Linked DNA regions of Schizosaccharomyces pombe. Changing the gene in region 2 together with the main gene of any one other region gives a genetic interaction. Each region holds a gene or a part of one and is shown on either strand. Other genes may lie near its edges.

The links. A genetic interaction does not mean that the proteins touch.
Region 1: mutations in vps3 (region 2) and sep1 together harm fitness more than expected from each alone (negative genetic interaction), as found in Schizosaccharomyces pombe (one large-scale study listed by BioGRID).
Region 3: mutations in vps3 (region 2) and SPOM_SPBPB10D8.02C together harm fitness more than expected from each alone (negative genetic interaction), as found in Schizosaccharomyces pombe (one large-scale study listed by BioGRID).

The regions. Positions count from the first base shown.
Region 1 is NC_003423.3:3,132,720-3,138,341, forward strand, and holds sep1 (DNA-binding forkhead transcription factor Sep1), read right to left. Parts: upstream 3,386-5,622; 5' UTR 2,768-3,385; coding exon 776-2,767; 3' UTR 501-775; downstream 1-500. Other genes in the region: DNA-directed RNA polymerase I complex large subunit Nuc1, read left to right, coding at 1-249; dss4 (guanyl-nucleotide exchange factor), read left to right, coding at 4,887-5,189. UniProt on the Schizosaccharomyces pombe protein: Required for promoter sequence element PCB-driven, M-phase-specific transcription. Acts as a transcriptional activator with a role in the regulation of mitosis. Regulates septation and the periodic transcription of cdc15.
Region 2 is NC_003421.2:475,048-481,098, reverse strand, and holds vps3 (GTPase regulator Vps3), read left to right. Parts: upstream 1-2,037; 5' UTR 2,038-2,110; coding exon 2,111-2,186; exon of another isoform or gene 2,187-2,234; coding exon 2,235-2,299; exon of another isoform or gene 2,300-2,353; coding exon 2,354-2,459; exon of another isoform or gene 2,460-2,511; coding exon 2,512-2,699; intron 2,700-2,755; coding exon 2,756-5,053; 3' UTR 5,054-5,316; downstream 5,317-6,051. Other genes in the region: coy1 (CASP domain-containing family protein), read right to left, coding at 1-1,086, 1,153-1,263, 1,321-1,372; histone H2A-H2B chaperone Nap1, read left to right, coding at 5,528-6,051. UniProt on the Schizosaccharomyces pombe protein: Required for sorting and processing of soluble vacuolar proteins.
Region 3 is NC_003423.3:82,729-87,499, reverse strand, and holds SPOM_SPBPB10D8.02C (arylsulfatase), read left to right. Parts: upstream 1-1,981; 5' UTR 1,982-2,068; coding exon 2,069-3,733; 3' UTR 3,734-4,271; downstream 4,272-4,771. Other genes in the region: SPOM_SPBPB10D8.01 (cysteine transporter), read right to left, coding at 4,547-4,771.

The DNA of each region.
Region 1 (5,622 bases), on a different chromosome or scaffold from region 2:
ATTGCAGATTATATGACTTTCGAGGGAGGATACAAAGCCTTCAATAGAATGGGAATAGAATATAACACTTCTCCATTTGCGAAAATGTCTTTTGAGACCACTTGTCACTTTTTGACTGAGGCCGCCCTCCGTGGTGATGTTGATGACTTATCCAATCCTTCATCTCGGTTAGTCGTTGGTCGAGTCGGTAACTTTGGCACCGGTTCTTTTGACATATTCACCCCTGTAGTCGATTCTCCTGCAAACTAAAAAAGGTATATTTATTGCGGTTGGGGAATAATTTTAGAAAAATGTGTGTTTTGACAAAATAAAAGATTTTGGAAATTAAACCTTTATTGGCTACTTGTTACAAAAATATATAAAATAAATAAATTGGGTTTTGGAACTAATACTTGTCATATAAGTTTTAGATAGGTTACCACAAATAAAATTACGTTTAATCTACAACTCTTACATAACACAAGAGATAAACTTCTAAACGCTATAAGCGTATACTATGTTTACGAAATATTCATAAAGCTTTATATTGCTAATGTGACTATTAGATATGCAACTGGGAGAACAATTCGCCGGATATAAATTAAAAGCTTTCGTAAATTTAAAAAAATTGCGCACGCAAATGAACAAGTAACATCGGGGGTTTGAAAGTTTATTAAGCAACCAAGGTAAAAGATATGTGTAAAATTAGGAATTCCCATAGCAGTCTTTAACTAGAACGAAGAAATATCACATTAAATAAAGCATGGATAAAAAGTAGATAAGTGCTAAAACAAATTTAGAATAGTGTTGAAGTTTGACGAAGAAGTGGCATTTTCCTCTTGGTAGGAGAAGGCAAGTAAGTATCATCTTGCGCGGCTGAAGAATGAATAGTAGTTGCTGAAGAAATATATTTTCTACGCACCTCACGTTTAACAGGAGACACTTTTCGATTGCTATTAAAGTCGGAAAAGTGATTTTCAAAACTCAACATATCCATGGGATCCAAAAAATCATCTTCAAAGGTATCAAACGACTTGCTCATGGGTAGCTTGCTTGGTGTTTCTAAGCCGGCAACGGAACTAATGTTATTGGTAAAATAAGATAATGATCCTCCATCAAGTAAGCTATCACCTTTAGGACTTTCAGATAGCGTTACTTGTTTAGATGCATCTCCATTACGTAGAATTGAAGACTTCAAAGGCGTGACTGACCAAAACTCTGCATCAGATGATGTTAAAGATGATAATTGCTTTGCATCAGGTGTAGCCAGCATTTGCAAGATACGAGTTCGATGCTCCTTCAAATTTGTATTCGGACTTGCTGAGATACCACTCATATCAGAACGGATGGGTGAAAGTAAAGAAAACTTAGTGTAGTCATCAGCCACGATGTCATCACGAAAGCAAAACAATTTAGGACACAAGGCCTTCGGGGGGGTTGGAAAATCAATAGAATTTGATCGCTTTAGCAAAAGTCCACTGGGATTTTTTATGGTAGGCGAGCTAGGTAAAGAAGGTAAACGGACTGCAGGGATCTGTAGGGTATTAGTTGTACCATCTTTTAAACCTTTCTTGCCGAGATTCGTTACAGTGTCATTAAAACCCAACACGGAATCATGAACTGAAGGGGTTTCAACATCCTTCTCCAAATGTGATACAGGTGGACCTTCTACTGGTGCATCATCTTTATTCAAACCCAATGATTTAGCTGACTTTATTCCCAAAGATTCATTCCTAAGTGATTCAGATGGAGAAGCACTGGATGCTGGTGATGACAAAGGAGGAGATGGAGAATTTGTACATGATTGTAAAGGAGAAGTTACAGATACGACAGAGGAAACACCCAAATCGGAAAACTTAGCTTCCAAATCAGAAGGTGCATCGATACCAGGGGTATCTACATAGGGTTGTTGACTATGAAGAGGATGAAAATTTGTGGCATTAACATTAGAGATCGTCGGAATGTTCGTTAAGGATGCAGTATAATAATTCTGAAGATATTGATGTCGCTGATTAAATATATGGGGAGAAGTATTAAACGTGTTAAATCCAGAGGAACCGGTAGAAGATCCATATTTTGTAGAGGAGGTAACGTCTTGAACAGGAGGCGCTGGTCTTGAATTTACTCCTGGTTTACGCAGCTTTAGTTTTAGAAATTGTTCTTCATGACCAGGACGAATGCTCCAAAAATGACCCTTCCCCGGTAAATTTCTAGGACGTTCAATTTTCATGAATGCCTTATTTAGACTTAAATTATGGCGGATGGAATTTTGCCAACCGTTATTGGACTTATTATAGAAAGAAAAAGTATTGCTGATCCAATCATATATAGCACTTAAAGTGAGACGACGATCGGGAGAACGGATTATTGACATTCCAATTAACATAGCATAGGAATAAGGAGGTTTCTTTCCATCATCTAGGGGTAAGAAAAACTCCTCCGGTTCTTGAGACTGAGAAGAAGATACAGAAGGGTTTCGATATATAATAGTATCCAAAGATTGCTCCGAAGGAGGAGGTATGGGAAGAGGAGGAACAGAATAAGTCAATCTAGTATAAGAAGGTATATATGGTCGAGTGGCTTTTGAAGAAGGTTTTTGAAAAGATGCAATGTTATTTTCTTTTCCGCCTGCAACTACGCCCTTCAACTTTGAAGCAACCTTGGGATAAGGTGGTAAAGATTGCAAAGGAATTTCCTGATAAGCAATTGGGAGTTCAGAGTACTTAGAAGCATTGTTAAGGTTTTTTTCATGAGTAAAATAATAAGGGTTAGTAGAATTAAAATTCATGAGGAAGATGTTCAGACAAATTGAATAATAAAACAAAAATTAAAGCACCGTTAGATAATGGCAATGCCAATAATAATAATGATTAAAAGAGAAAACCAATTAAGGGAAAATAATAGTAATAGTGAATACTACTATACTCCGGACTTACACAAACATAGATTGTCAGTATGCGGACCAAAAAGAATGAAGTATTTTGCAAAATTCAAAGATTTGAAAAGAATTAATAATAATAGTACTCAAAGGACAAAAAAAAAATTGTCCGACCTTGGATTCTCGCACTAGTGTTACGACAAGGCACGATTCCGAAGCACAAAAAAAAGAAAGAAAGAAAGTGTGGTGCTCTAAATTCACAATCCTTTACAACCAAAAATAAAGTCTTAAGTCTAAGACAGAAATAATTATAGAAATAGGTATTACAGTATAGGAAGCAAAAGATACAAACTCAATACTGGATGCTGTCAGAAACGAGAGAAATGCACAACGAGATACTAATATTGCATAAAAATATTAAGATTTGTAATAGTGATACACAATCGTGTCAAATATCCTTTCGTATCAAATGCTCCGAATTGCTCCAATTTTGGACGTTTGCCAAAATATGAGTGTACGAGATGAGATAGAAATCTCCACCTCGTGAAAGCGGATCCTCTATTTTAGTGACAATATGTCATAGAGCCGAAAAATCGATTACGATGTTGGGTTGTGAGTATTTTACTAACAGTAATAAGGGTATACGTTATGATACGTTAAGCTGCCAATTATCCTCCTTCATTAAGTATGCCCTTAATTTGACACATTTCTGGTTCCATAGTATTAACCATACAGTAAAACGTTGTTTTATTTTTTGAGGTCCTATAATTAGAAATTTAAATGAAATGAGGCACTAGTTTCAGTTATGAAATATTTTTTTAGTGAATAGCTATAATATTATCTTCATACTAAAATATTTAATAACGTCGGATGTTCATGCAACTTAAATATTGCTATAAAGAGAGTATAAGTTGAAGTTGAGCTTAGTCTAATCATATCAGTTAGTGGTTGACAAATTTTAGGTGATTAATACATTTGGTTAAGAATCAATAGCATGCGTTATATTTTTTGTATTATTTCAACAATAACAATAACGATGATTGATAAATTGACTTGGCTTAGAAACTCATTTAGTTAATAAAATAATAATATTTCAATATTTGGAAGCTAATAATATTCTTTGTCACATAACTGAATCGAGAAGTTCACGGAGCTAATCAAGAATACTTCTTTTTATTAAGGATTTAGACAAAGTAATCATAGTAGCAATAATTCGAGCAAAAATAGCGTAGTTCTATAGATTTCAATTAAAATATTAGACAATTGAAGGGATGGCACACGATTCCTACACATTTACATTGAAAATTGCAAGTGCCAAGCTAATTTCCCAATTTTGCAGTCTGCACACATTCAAAGTTTGATTACAATATTTCTTTCAATGCCGTACTTCTAAAATTTTAGTTACTAGAAGAAAGTTCAAAAACCACTGTGTACAAAGTTTTAGTATGTGTCAAGGTTGCAACACGGAAAGCAAATTGAGTAGAAAGAAAAAGGTTCTGTATTTAACATAGAAGGATAGAAGAATTATGTGTCCGAATTTCTAAATTTGAAAATAACTACTATATGAACCAATGCATCAGGCGAACTGATATGTCTCGTTTAACATTAAGAGAAAGACAATATTCAAGAACACATTAGACGAGCAAATAAAAATTTTTTGCGTTTTCTTTTATAATAACTTACTAATTATGTGGTGAAGTTTAAATATAGTGAAAACCAGGCCATGTTAATTTATGAAACCAAATAGCATGTCAAAAAAAAAGAAGTTTTCAGCGTCTAATTATTGATTTGCTTCTATCGTCAAAATGCAAAACATTGTTTTCCATATCTTCATTGCACTAGACACGTCAGTACCTATTTTGGAAATGAATGCTACATGTATTGAATTAAATTTGAAGAACTTGTAATTAGCATTTAAACTTTTAAAAGTTTTCTCTTGTATTTTTATTTTTTTAATAGGTTATATCCACAAAAAACGCTGATTGGCGCTTACTACTAACTAACTACCACCATATTGTTTTCCTAAATTATGTCGAATTTGCGAATTGTTTGTCAACATTGCCCTTCAGTCGTATTTAATAACAAACGTCCAGATGTTGTTAAGAGGCCAACAATGTCAGCTATGCTGCATTCTGAAACACAAGAAGATCTAGAAACTGACGATTTTTTTCTTCTAAAAGATCCGTTTGCTTTCGACAACGTTAGCGTATCAAAACCCTTAGCAAATAATTATAAATTACTTGCTTGTGCTGATTGTGAAAAAGGTCCGTTGGGCTACTATGATTCTAAGAACAATGAATATTTATTGCTGTGCTCATTGGAGAAAAACTAAGCTTAATAATAAGTTTATCAAACAACTGTGCTATTTATCTTGGTTATAGCATATTTTTGTAAACGTTACTTATTTGATATGGAATGGTCTTTTCCATGTGTCTTTTTATTCTTTATATTTTTTTAGAAGACTTGCAACATGGCCTTACAAAAGACAGGTATGTTGTGGTTTCATATTGAATAGTAACCACGAAATTAGGTATATTTAAATGGAATTATAATGTTTGTTTCTTATTAAAAAGTTCTTTTGTAGCTTACACCTTTGTTGTGATTAGATTTTAATCTTATCGGGTATTAAATGAAATTAACCTTGACTAAACAAAATATACCTTACGATTAAACCAATGTTTTTTTAGCACTAATTTAAAATTTGAAGAAAGCACAGTGAATGTGTTGTACATATAATCAGCTTTTGTCTTCGTAATTACCGATAG
Region 2 (6,051 bases):
CTTGTTCAGAAGCTTTTTGTTCCAAAAATGAAGCCTTCTTCGACTCTTGAGTAATTCTATCAGTTAACTGGGCATTTGTGGAGCGTAGCTTGGCCAACTCCTCAGATAGTTGCTTTTCGCGCTTGAGTAATTGAGACTCTAGAGAAGTGTTTTCATGAGTCGCATGTTCTCCACTAAATTCAATTTGTTTTAAAACAGATAGTTCTCGTTTAATCTCGTCGTAATCCGAAAATTTATTGGCCAATGTTAAGCTTTCTTCTTTAACTTTGCGGGCCTCTTTAACTTCATTTTCCAGCGTTTGAATGGTGGCACAATGTGTTTCCATTTCTTTTCTTGATGCTTCCTTTATTGATTCCAATTCAGTAGACAATTTTTTATTAAGAGAATCCATAAAATCCAATTGTTGTTTCTGCTGGTTACTCAGGTCATCCTGTGACGACCCGCTCTTTTGCTCTTTGGTGTTTTGCTTGAGCACAGCAATTTCTGCTTGCAATTCGACAATGATTTTGTTAGCATCATCCAATTCAGAAAGAATAGCATTCACTTCGGCAGATTTGGCATTAACGTCCAACCCTGCTGATTCATTCTGACTGGCCTGTAAATCATGATCTAGTTGTGATGCTTGTAATTCCCGAATTTTTGAAGTTAATTTTTGAATCGTACTAGCATTTTCCTGTTCCATGTCTTTATATAGCTTTTGTTGCTCAAGCCAAGACTTTTCGCATTCTTCTTTTGTGATTGCGGCACGCTTTTCCGCTTCAGTCTCTACAAGGTCCTTGTATTTGTCAAGCTCTTTTCGTAAATTTTCCACTTCACGTTCCAGCTTTTCCTTACCCTGTAGCGAGCCTTCCATTTCTTCCTTTTCCTTTTTTAAATCTTCAATCTGTTTTTGAGTTTTAAGGTTGTTCGCAGCCTCAATCAGCAAAGGGTAGGGATCAGGAACCTCGCCTAGTGTTTCATACACTCGAAAGAATGTTGCTTCAGCGGACTTTGCTCGTTTGGTCAAAGAATCGATTCCAGACTGATAAAGCTTTAAAAGGCCCTTCATTTCGCCTAGCTTGACTTCATCAGGCTGCTTGCGAAATTCTGTATATTAACAATATTAGCAAGGGTTAATGTATACTAGGTATGCTGCAATAATAGACACCATACCCTTCGTTTTTGACGAAAGCTCTTTCCTTTCATCCAAAGATGTCTTTTGCATCTTCTCAATTTCTGCTGCAGCTTCATCTGCTTCCCGTTGTAATTCCTCAAACCGCGAATCTATTATCTCACGTTAGTAACTTTGCTATTTGCTTAAAAATTCAAAACACCACGAACTTTTCCATGACTCCGTTAGCTTTTGGAGTAAAGCTTCTGAAGCAACTGCCATTATGTTGCAAGTTATTAAAACGAAACACTAAAATGACTAATGTTTAGTATTTGTTTTGTGCTTAGCATTTCAATGAAATAGCGCGATGTCAGCGTGCTGAAATAGTGAATTGGGAGTTACACAACGTTCCATTAAACACTTCGCTATAAGAATTTGTTTTTATGGAAATGAGTAATATGTATTAGGCGCTTAATTCGATTGGAAAAGTGATTGTATATTGTATTGATTTTGCTTTTGTAGCCTTGTATTTTGGGAATAATGCAAAGCCTATTGACAAAAGGCCAATCTTTTTAGATCAGCTATCAAATTATTCAGTCAATTAATTTTCGAAGAGACTTGAAATTAAGTCAGTCAACAAACATACAATCACTTCTGTGTGCAATTATTATAGTTCCTGCTATTTCACTCTGTGAGGCTATCTCAAATTGCTATAACTCCCAGGATGCTTGCAAGTTAACTTAGAATTACTATGGATTAAGATTGGAAGAGAATCTCCTATAAGGATTCCACGTATTTGAATAGTTAGTTTTGTAATAGAATCTAATTTTTATTTAAATTAGCAGAAATTCTAAATTTACTTTCTTTCTATATCATAACATTTCGTTTACTATGGGTTACACGCTACCCAGATCTACTCATATTGAAAGTAACCATATTAACGCAACAGATACACTTACAAAGGGCTTTTTCATGAATATAATTGTTTAATGAATCTTTTCATTAATTCAAAATTTACAAATGTCTGATATTGAGCTGCATGAGTCAGCAATTCCTAAAGAATTGGATTCCCCTGTAACTACCATTGCGCTCTATAGTAAGGCAAGCATCCGGGGCTATATTGCTAACTATTTGATTTTTTTAGATAACCATCTATACTTTGGAACGGAAGGTGGTGATGTATTCCTCTATAATTTTTCAAATTTCCAGGTTTGTGTTTATTCGTGTGTTGCACAGGGTTGTTTGCATTAACACGCGTATTAGTTAAATGAATCACCAGAGCTTGTAAAGAAGATTTCGTTGGTGTCGAAATCTCGTGTAAACCGAATTCTTGCAATGCCTTTTCTTGGCGCAGTTTTTATTCATCATGGTAAGCTATGTGTGGTTTACGATAACTTTGGAATACCAATTAACGGTGGTAGGTAGTTTCGCAGAAGTATACAAGGAAGATGATTTGACTCAGCTTTACCCTTCCATCTCCTTTAAAGGCTTGGTGGAATTCTGTCATCCAGGCCAACGTATTGACGAGAAAAGCACATATTTAATTGTGACCAATACTCATTTAAAGCTCATCTCATTTCAAAAAGATGGAATCATACTAGTCAAAAATGTATGTTAGATGCTAAATTGTTTACTTCATAAAAGCGCTAATTAACAATAAACAAGGAACTTAAATACCCCAATATTCAAACTGCTCGTGTGAATGGTCATATCGTTTGTCTAGTTACCGAAAATTCCTTTGAATTATTGGATATTCTCACCTTTGATACTACTCCCCTCTTTCCCATTATCAAATACGATTCGGAAAATAATGGGCTAATGTACAAACCCATGATTGTTTTGCATTCTAATGAATTTCTCTTGATTACCGGTAGTCCCAAAGATGCCATAGGGCTTTTTGTAGATTCCCAAGGGAATGTCACAAGAAGCACTCTAACTTTTTCATTTTATCCAAAACATGTTTTTTCTACATCTCATTATGTGTTCGCCATTTCTTCTAGTTCGTTACAGATCATCGACATAAATACTCTCAGTCTTGTTAAAAGTATTAATCTGAAGGATGATGAAAGTTTCTCTTTTATTTCTCGATTGACAAGCGTTCATTTTTGTGATCGCCAAATATTTAGTAAATTCTCTGCTGTGAATACTGCGTCTACCTCAAAAACTTCTGATACGATAGAAAGGGCTTCTTTTAGCAAGCCTTCATTTATTTTTCTTACGAATAAATCTTGGGGGTTTGGCGCTGAAGCTCATTTTATGAACAAACTAGAATTCAGTATTACCATAGGCGATATTGAAGCCCCTCTGCGTCGAGTGAGTAAGCGATTGCGGAATCCGAAGAAGTATGGAATAACCAATGATGTCGCTTATCTTCAATCTGCTTATTTGGAGCAAATCTCGGCATTACAGTATTGGAAGCAAGGACAGTATGAAAATTCTCTCTCTTTGCTTGAAACTTCCAAAATTGATCCTCGCGTAGTTATCTCCCTCTATCCAGATCTCTATCATTCGGAGCTTTCCTATATTGCTTTTCAAGGTGTCATTAGTTTTCGCAAAAGCATATTGTCCGTCGATGATACTGTTGCTAATGTTTTAAAATCTAATGAATTGTTTCGTGATACTGATCAATACACTCAGAGACAAATGATTGAAATTACTAAGGAAAACGCATACATCATGTTGATGCGTTATCTGAAAAATTACAAAAAGAACACGAGCATATCTGAGTATCTTTTATCTTCGCAAAGAGACGTGATGCTTGCTGTAGAGCATTCGTTATTACTCCTTTATTTAAATATGGATGATTTAGCCGCCGGTACCAAAAATGCTAAGGAGTTGTTAGAGTCTGGTCTAACTGGTGTTGAAGATATAAAAGATGTGTTGATACAGAAGAAAGAGTATTATTTACTCTCCGTGTTATTGGCTACTGTAAGGGATCACGATGGTGTTCTTCAAACTTGGAAGAAATTAATAACAGGGGATTATGAAGATCGGAGATTCAACGATGGGTTAATTAAAATACGAGAATATTTGGTTAATGATATTGAGCCTTCGACATTCTGGGAATTTACTACATGGCTTTGTAAACACGATGCAACGGAGGGTACGCGCGTTTTGCTTGACAAAACAGTTAGTGGATCCATTTCTGCAGAGGACGTGTTAGAGCATTTGGATTCTTCTCAAGATGATGTTTTGATTGATTACCTTGTAAAGTCGAATTCCGTCACTCATCGAGCGCTACTTTTAAAGTTGTGCGTTAATAAGTTGCTTGGCAGTTTATTGGATCATAACGATTTTAAAAATCGCCTTGAGACTGCCATTGAAACATTTAGGGAGCTTCCTTGCATGGAGAAACCTACGTATGCCCAATACTTGGAACAACTTTGGGGGGACATGAGTGATTTCAGTACTCATCTTTCATTTTACTATTTGTGTTCTATTAATCTGATGGAAAATGTTGAAGAAGAATCTATAGATAAAATAAAAGATATTTTGTTCGACATTCATGTTGACAATTTATATCTATTTCCTCAACTTGAACACTCGTTTTACAAAAGGAAGAAGAATTATGAAAAAGCTTTATCCGTTTTGGTTACGAATATTCATGACTATAAGGGCGGTGAAGCATACTGTCTTCAAATTGATGATGTTTATCCTCAGTGTTGGTGCAATTTGCTCGAAAAATGTATATCAACAGGAGATGGATGTAGTGATTTTATTAAAGAACTATTGTATCGTCGACCCTTTTCTTATACGCTTTCCTACGTGTGCGAGCAAATTCCAGATCATTGGAATCTTAACTTATTAGCAGATTTTTTGTGTATATTGCAAAAAAGAAATGCTGAGCGTTTGAATGAATCCCAAACTCGTTTAACACTTGAGAAGTCGTTGTCTCAAAATTTGGAAGAGTTGTTCATGGCTATTAATCGTCGTAATGTAGCCTTGGGCAAAAACGAAATTTAACCCAGTAACATTTAAAAAGTAACCTTTGGTTCAGCAAAGTTTTTACCTCAATTTTCGATACTTATTCGACTGATGTTTAATTTAATGATAGAATAATTTCAATGAGACAAAAAGATTCTAGCTTCAAAATGTTGTTAGAATATAAAGGGCTTTCTTCTACAGTTAATTCAGCTCTTCCTGATCTTTACTAGTCTTAAAAATATAAATAATATTAACTATGAGCCTAAATTCATCGAATTTTATTTTTAAAAACCCCCTTCGGGAATAAAGAAAGTGTCCGTAACACAACGATGCACTGTTCACTAAGGTCGGAAACCCCGAGGATGAGCTCGGAAGTTCCGCGGGTAGGTAGATTCCCAGGGTGCAGCAAATATTCTTACACTTAGCTTCTACCACTACCCTTCCCAGTGTTATTAAAAGGACGTACGGAAAGCGTCTGAAGCATAATTGATTGCTGGAACAAGTAGAATTAATATGGTAGAGAACGTTAATATTAATAACAAAAGGGCCGGAAAAATGTCTGCCGCCCCAACTCCCCATAACACCCCATCGGGGACGAGCGCTCCCAACTTTGGTGCGAAGGCTCCTCAAGTAAATACTATTGACGAAGGAGATGAGAATTTAGAGGCTATCGACGGAAAATTGGGTTCTTTATTACATCTCACTTCAGAAGGAGTTTCAGAATTGCCTGAAGCCGTGCAAAGAAGGATTTCTGGACTTCGTGGTTTGCAAAAGCGATACAGCGACTTGGAGTCTCAATTCCAAAAAGAGCTGTTTGAGTTGGAAAAAGCTTATGCAAAGAAGTACGCACCTATTTTTAAGAGAAGATCTGAGGTTGTTCGTGGCGCTGACGAACCTACCGAGGAGGAAATTAAGAAGGGTGAAGCTGCCGATGAGAACGAAAAGAAAGAACCTACTTCTTCTGAGTCTAAGAAACAAGAAGGTGGTGATGATACTAAGGGTATTCCTGAGTTCTGGTTGACCGCTATGAAGAATGT
Region 3 (4,771 bases), on a different chromosome or scaffold from region 2:
ATCCTTTTAATCAGTATCGTAGATAATACCATTTTGATATACTTCATGTTGCTCATCTGAGGACTCGCTTTCACTTTCAATAATGCGTTGTTGAACTAAGTTGTAATATTTCTGGTTTAATCAGCTAATGATCCACCGTATACGATTTTTCCAAGTACTATAGTTAAAAAAAGATGTCCGCTCAAATAAATATTTATATGCCTATACTAGTAGCACTTTACATGCCGCTACATTATATATAAAAGTGAACAGCCAATTAATTTTGCTTTTTAATCATTTCCAAGTCATTTAAAATTCCTTGCAATAATAAGCGTATATGGGAATGTAGTTAGCACAATTACTTGCTTCGGCTCAGACAACCTATTATTATAATACAGCTTATTTTATAATAATATTATTAGCTTTTTACCCATCGAACACAAATGAAAACATGCTAAGAAAAGGAATGTTTAAACAAAATTATTATAGTCATAATCTAGGATGCATTTACCGAGTAACAATGACAACTTAACACGTGTAAATTCTAATTTGTAATTAAAACGATTTGCTATTACTATTTAAATGTAAACCAAGTTTGAATACATCCGATATAATAATGAGTAAAAAGAAAATAGTGGGTGCTGCTCAATAAGTTTACACTTTAACATAATATCAGACCAAATCTGATAAATATGAATTTACGTAACTCTTTTGATATAATTTGAATTCACTTATAATTGCAATTGATAGTACCAAAAGTGCGTTGAAGGGAAATGATGTATGGATTGTTTGAGAATGTTACATCTTTTCTCGGATCCAACATTACGCAAAGATCCTTTCTGTACAACAACTTAATCCTTTAACTTTACAAGTTCCTACAATTGAAACAAGTTGTTTTTGTATATTGTGAATGTCTTAAGATGTTCTTTATCTGTATTTTTTAACAATTGGTCCACTATTTTTGAACTTAGGAAGTCTAATTATTGGACGGCCCTTAGTTACGGAAACAATTTACCAAGAAAAAAATCTTCAGATATATAGCATTAAGCTTTATTATGATACATCTCGATACTTTTATACTCTTCATATCTTCATATATATTACGTCCACTAATCGAGATTATTAAATTCCAATTGTAATAATTAAGTATTATTTTAATTTCAAACGAAAAGAGAATCCGAGGTCAGTTGTAAATTAATTATTACCACTTAGTATGAAAATATTCGTGTCTGATATTTCATATCAATAAGACAATACAAAGGACCAAAACGTAATTTTAATCGCAGTTTACCCCCATTAAATTGTATGAAATTCGTATCACTCAACAAATCTAGGTATAAATATGATTTTTCTCAGTTATTGTCAAAAGCAAAATGTTATTATATCTAATTTATCTCATAGAAAATATGTTGAATCTTCCACTGACATTTCTCGTTGAAAGTTCAAAATAACGAAAATCGACGTCCTTGTTAATTATCATTTGGTATCTTTTAGAAAATTAATGTTTTCTTATATGTATAAAGCTTCAAAATCTATTTAGGTTCCTTTGTAGTATATTACCGAAACCGATTTTTTCTAGAGTAAAGCATTTATTGATATAAAGATCAATTAATATAATTTGGCGAGTGTTTAAATATTTTCACATATTTTCCTTTGGGATTGATAACTCAATTAATATTTCCTTGATAAATAAAAAAAAAAAGTCAATTCCTGGTCAGTAAACTCAGTTTTGCACATATTGAGTGAGTGACAGTAATTAGTTTTAAACTTGATTTACTGAATCTTATCTCTAAAATATTCAGATAAGTAAATTACAGTTTGATCCAGTAAATTGGAATGTATGAGTATCTTTTTTAATATGGATGATGTTACTCAAAGCTTACGTGATAGCACGCCATACTTCTTCATTAGGTATTTGTAATTTTGCAATCTATTACGGAAGACAATTGTTGCAAATATATTTTTTCATATTTTAATCAACTTGTGGGCTGTCTCTTGTCTCACATGCCCTTTATGAACATAAAATAAAAATTACAGTTTGAGCTGCATAAAAATTTATTCGCAATCAAAAAAAATTTGAATAGTAACTATGGCTTTTAATAAACAAGCTGAATCTAAAAAACCAAACTTTTTGGTCATCGTAGCTGACGATCTTGGATGGTCAGATGTTTCTCCGTTTGGAAGTGAAATACACACTCCAAATATTGAGAGGCTTGCAAAGGAAGGTGTACGGTTGACAAACTTTCATACAGCCTCTGCTTGCTCGCCTACTCGATCTATGTTATTAAGCGGTACAGACAATCACATAGCAGGTTTAGGGCAAATGGCAGAGACAGTACGCAGGTTTTCGAAAGTATGGGGTGGAAAGCCTGGGTACGAAGGCTACCTAAATGATAGAGTTGCTGCATTACCAGAGATTCTACAGGAAGCGGGTTACTATACCACAATGTCTGGAAAGTGGCACCTTGGACTAACCCCAGATCGTTACCCTTCAAAGCGAGGATTTAAAGAATCTTTTGCACTTTTACCTGGAGGTGGTAATCATTTTGCATATGAACCTGGTACTAGAGAAAACCCTGCTGTACCTTTTTTACCACCATTGTATACCCACAATCATGATCCTGTTGATCACAAAAGCTTAAAAAATTTTTATTCGTCCAATTACTTTGCAGAAAAATTAATTGATCAGTTAAAAAATCGTGAAAAATCCCAGTCATTTTTTGCTTACCTCCCATTTACAGCACCTCATTGGCCGTTGCAATCACCAAAAGAATATATTAATAAATATCGTGGACGATATAGTGAAGGCCCCGATGTGTTACGAAAAAATCGCTTGCAAGCCCAAAAGGATTTGGGACTTATACCAGAAAATGTAATTCCAGCACCTGTAGATGGAATGGGAACCAAGTCATGGGACGAACTAACAACAGAAGAGAAAGAATTTTCTGCGCGAACGATGGAAGTTTATGCTGCAATGGTCGAATTATTAGATTTGAATATTGGTCGTGTTATTGACTACTTGAAAACTATTGGAGAACTTGACAACACATTTGTTATATTTATGTCAGACAACGGTGCAGAAGGGTCAGTTTTGGAAGCAATCCCGGTATTAAGCACAAAACCACCGGTTAAGTATTTTGACAATTCACTGGAAAACTTGGGTAATTATAATTCATTTATTTGGTACGGACCAAGATGGGCACAGGCTGCGACCGCTCCTTCTCGACTTAGCAAGGGTTTTATTACAGAAGGTGGTATTCGATGTCCTGCTATAATTCGCTATCCTCCATTGATCAAGCCAGACATCATCTCCGATGAGTTTGTTACGGTTATGGATATCCTGCCAACCATCCTTGAGTTAGCAGAAGTCCCTCACCCAGGGCACAAATTTCAAGGACGAGATGTTGTAATCCCCCGTGGGAAACCTTGGATTGACCATTTTGTGCATGGAAAACCCGTACACAAAGATACTGACTTTAGCGGCTGGGAACTTTTCGGGCAAAGAGCTATCAGAAAAGGAAATTATAAGGCAATATATGTACCTAAAGAAGGAATAAAAACAGAATGGGAGCTGTATGATCTTTCCCAGGACAAAGGTGAGCTTGAAAATCTAGCGAAAGTCCATCCAGATATTCTAAACGAACTCATCGAGTATTGGTTGGTCTACGAAGCTGAAACTGGAGTAGTAACAGCCCCAGACGATTTTGTTGCCGAAAACGTCGGTTTGTTCAAACCAGCTAAGCACAATCTTTAATGATTATTCATGATATTGAATTTTACAATAATTTTTTACTGTTAATGAAACACCACATAGCAGTTTATTAATGGTAAAAAACTTATTGCAAATATGGAACTCGGGTTCAGCTAATTGTTTAATTTAATGGGCTATTTCCAGTCTTTTACTTATTAAACACCACAGTTTAAAGATTATAAAATCTAATAATAGCTGATTTCATCTATCAACGTATATATGCTAAGTTACCAATTGATTCAATGTTTTTTAAATATGATAATCTACAGCGAAAATTATCAGATGGAATGCAAAGCCGAGCTGAAAAATTTAACTGGTTTGGATTTCCCCTACGTATTAGGCTTTATAATTGATATAAAAATACTTTTTTAGAACATCTCTTTTTCAATCGCAACTTTGCAGCAAAGTAAACTATGAGAAACCATTGGGGATAAAAATCGACCTCCATTTTATTTAGCAATGAATGCTAGTTCTTCTTTTCAATCTATGTAAATAGTAACTGAATAAAGCTTTCAGCAATATATACAAACAAAATTTCAAACTATTCTTCGCTAAAGACGAAGATTACTATTAAAGGTTAGGAATCCTAAAGGAAACAAAAAAACAAGTAAATAAAGCAACTGTCTTGTAGTAGTCTAAAATAAGTTAAGAGTTTACGGGCAAGTAGTTTAAAAATACAAAATTTTGCAAAAAAAAAAGCAAATAGTAGAAGGATTTTTCATGACTGTTGGGAATTTGAAATTATTTTGTAAACATTTCTCATGAATACTTCAAAAAGTTATTTTTTAAGATTTATTCCTTCGTTTAAATGGATAATTATAAGGGATAAATAAACGATAGGTTCTCCTGGTCTGTCAAATCAAGCATAGAATTTTCGTAAAAACCGGAAACGTGATTTCCAGAAGAATCAATCGTCTCAATCCAAGTCTTTTCATACTGTTCTTTATTCTGCTCAAGAAGAGCAAGGCGCTTTTTGTTCCTTCGAACAAGAATCCAGCGAATGATCAGCAATACAAAGGGAGAAACAGACCAAGCAATTAC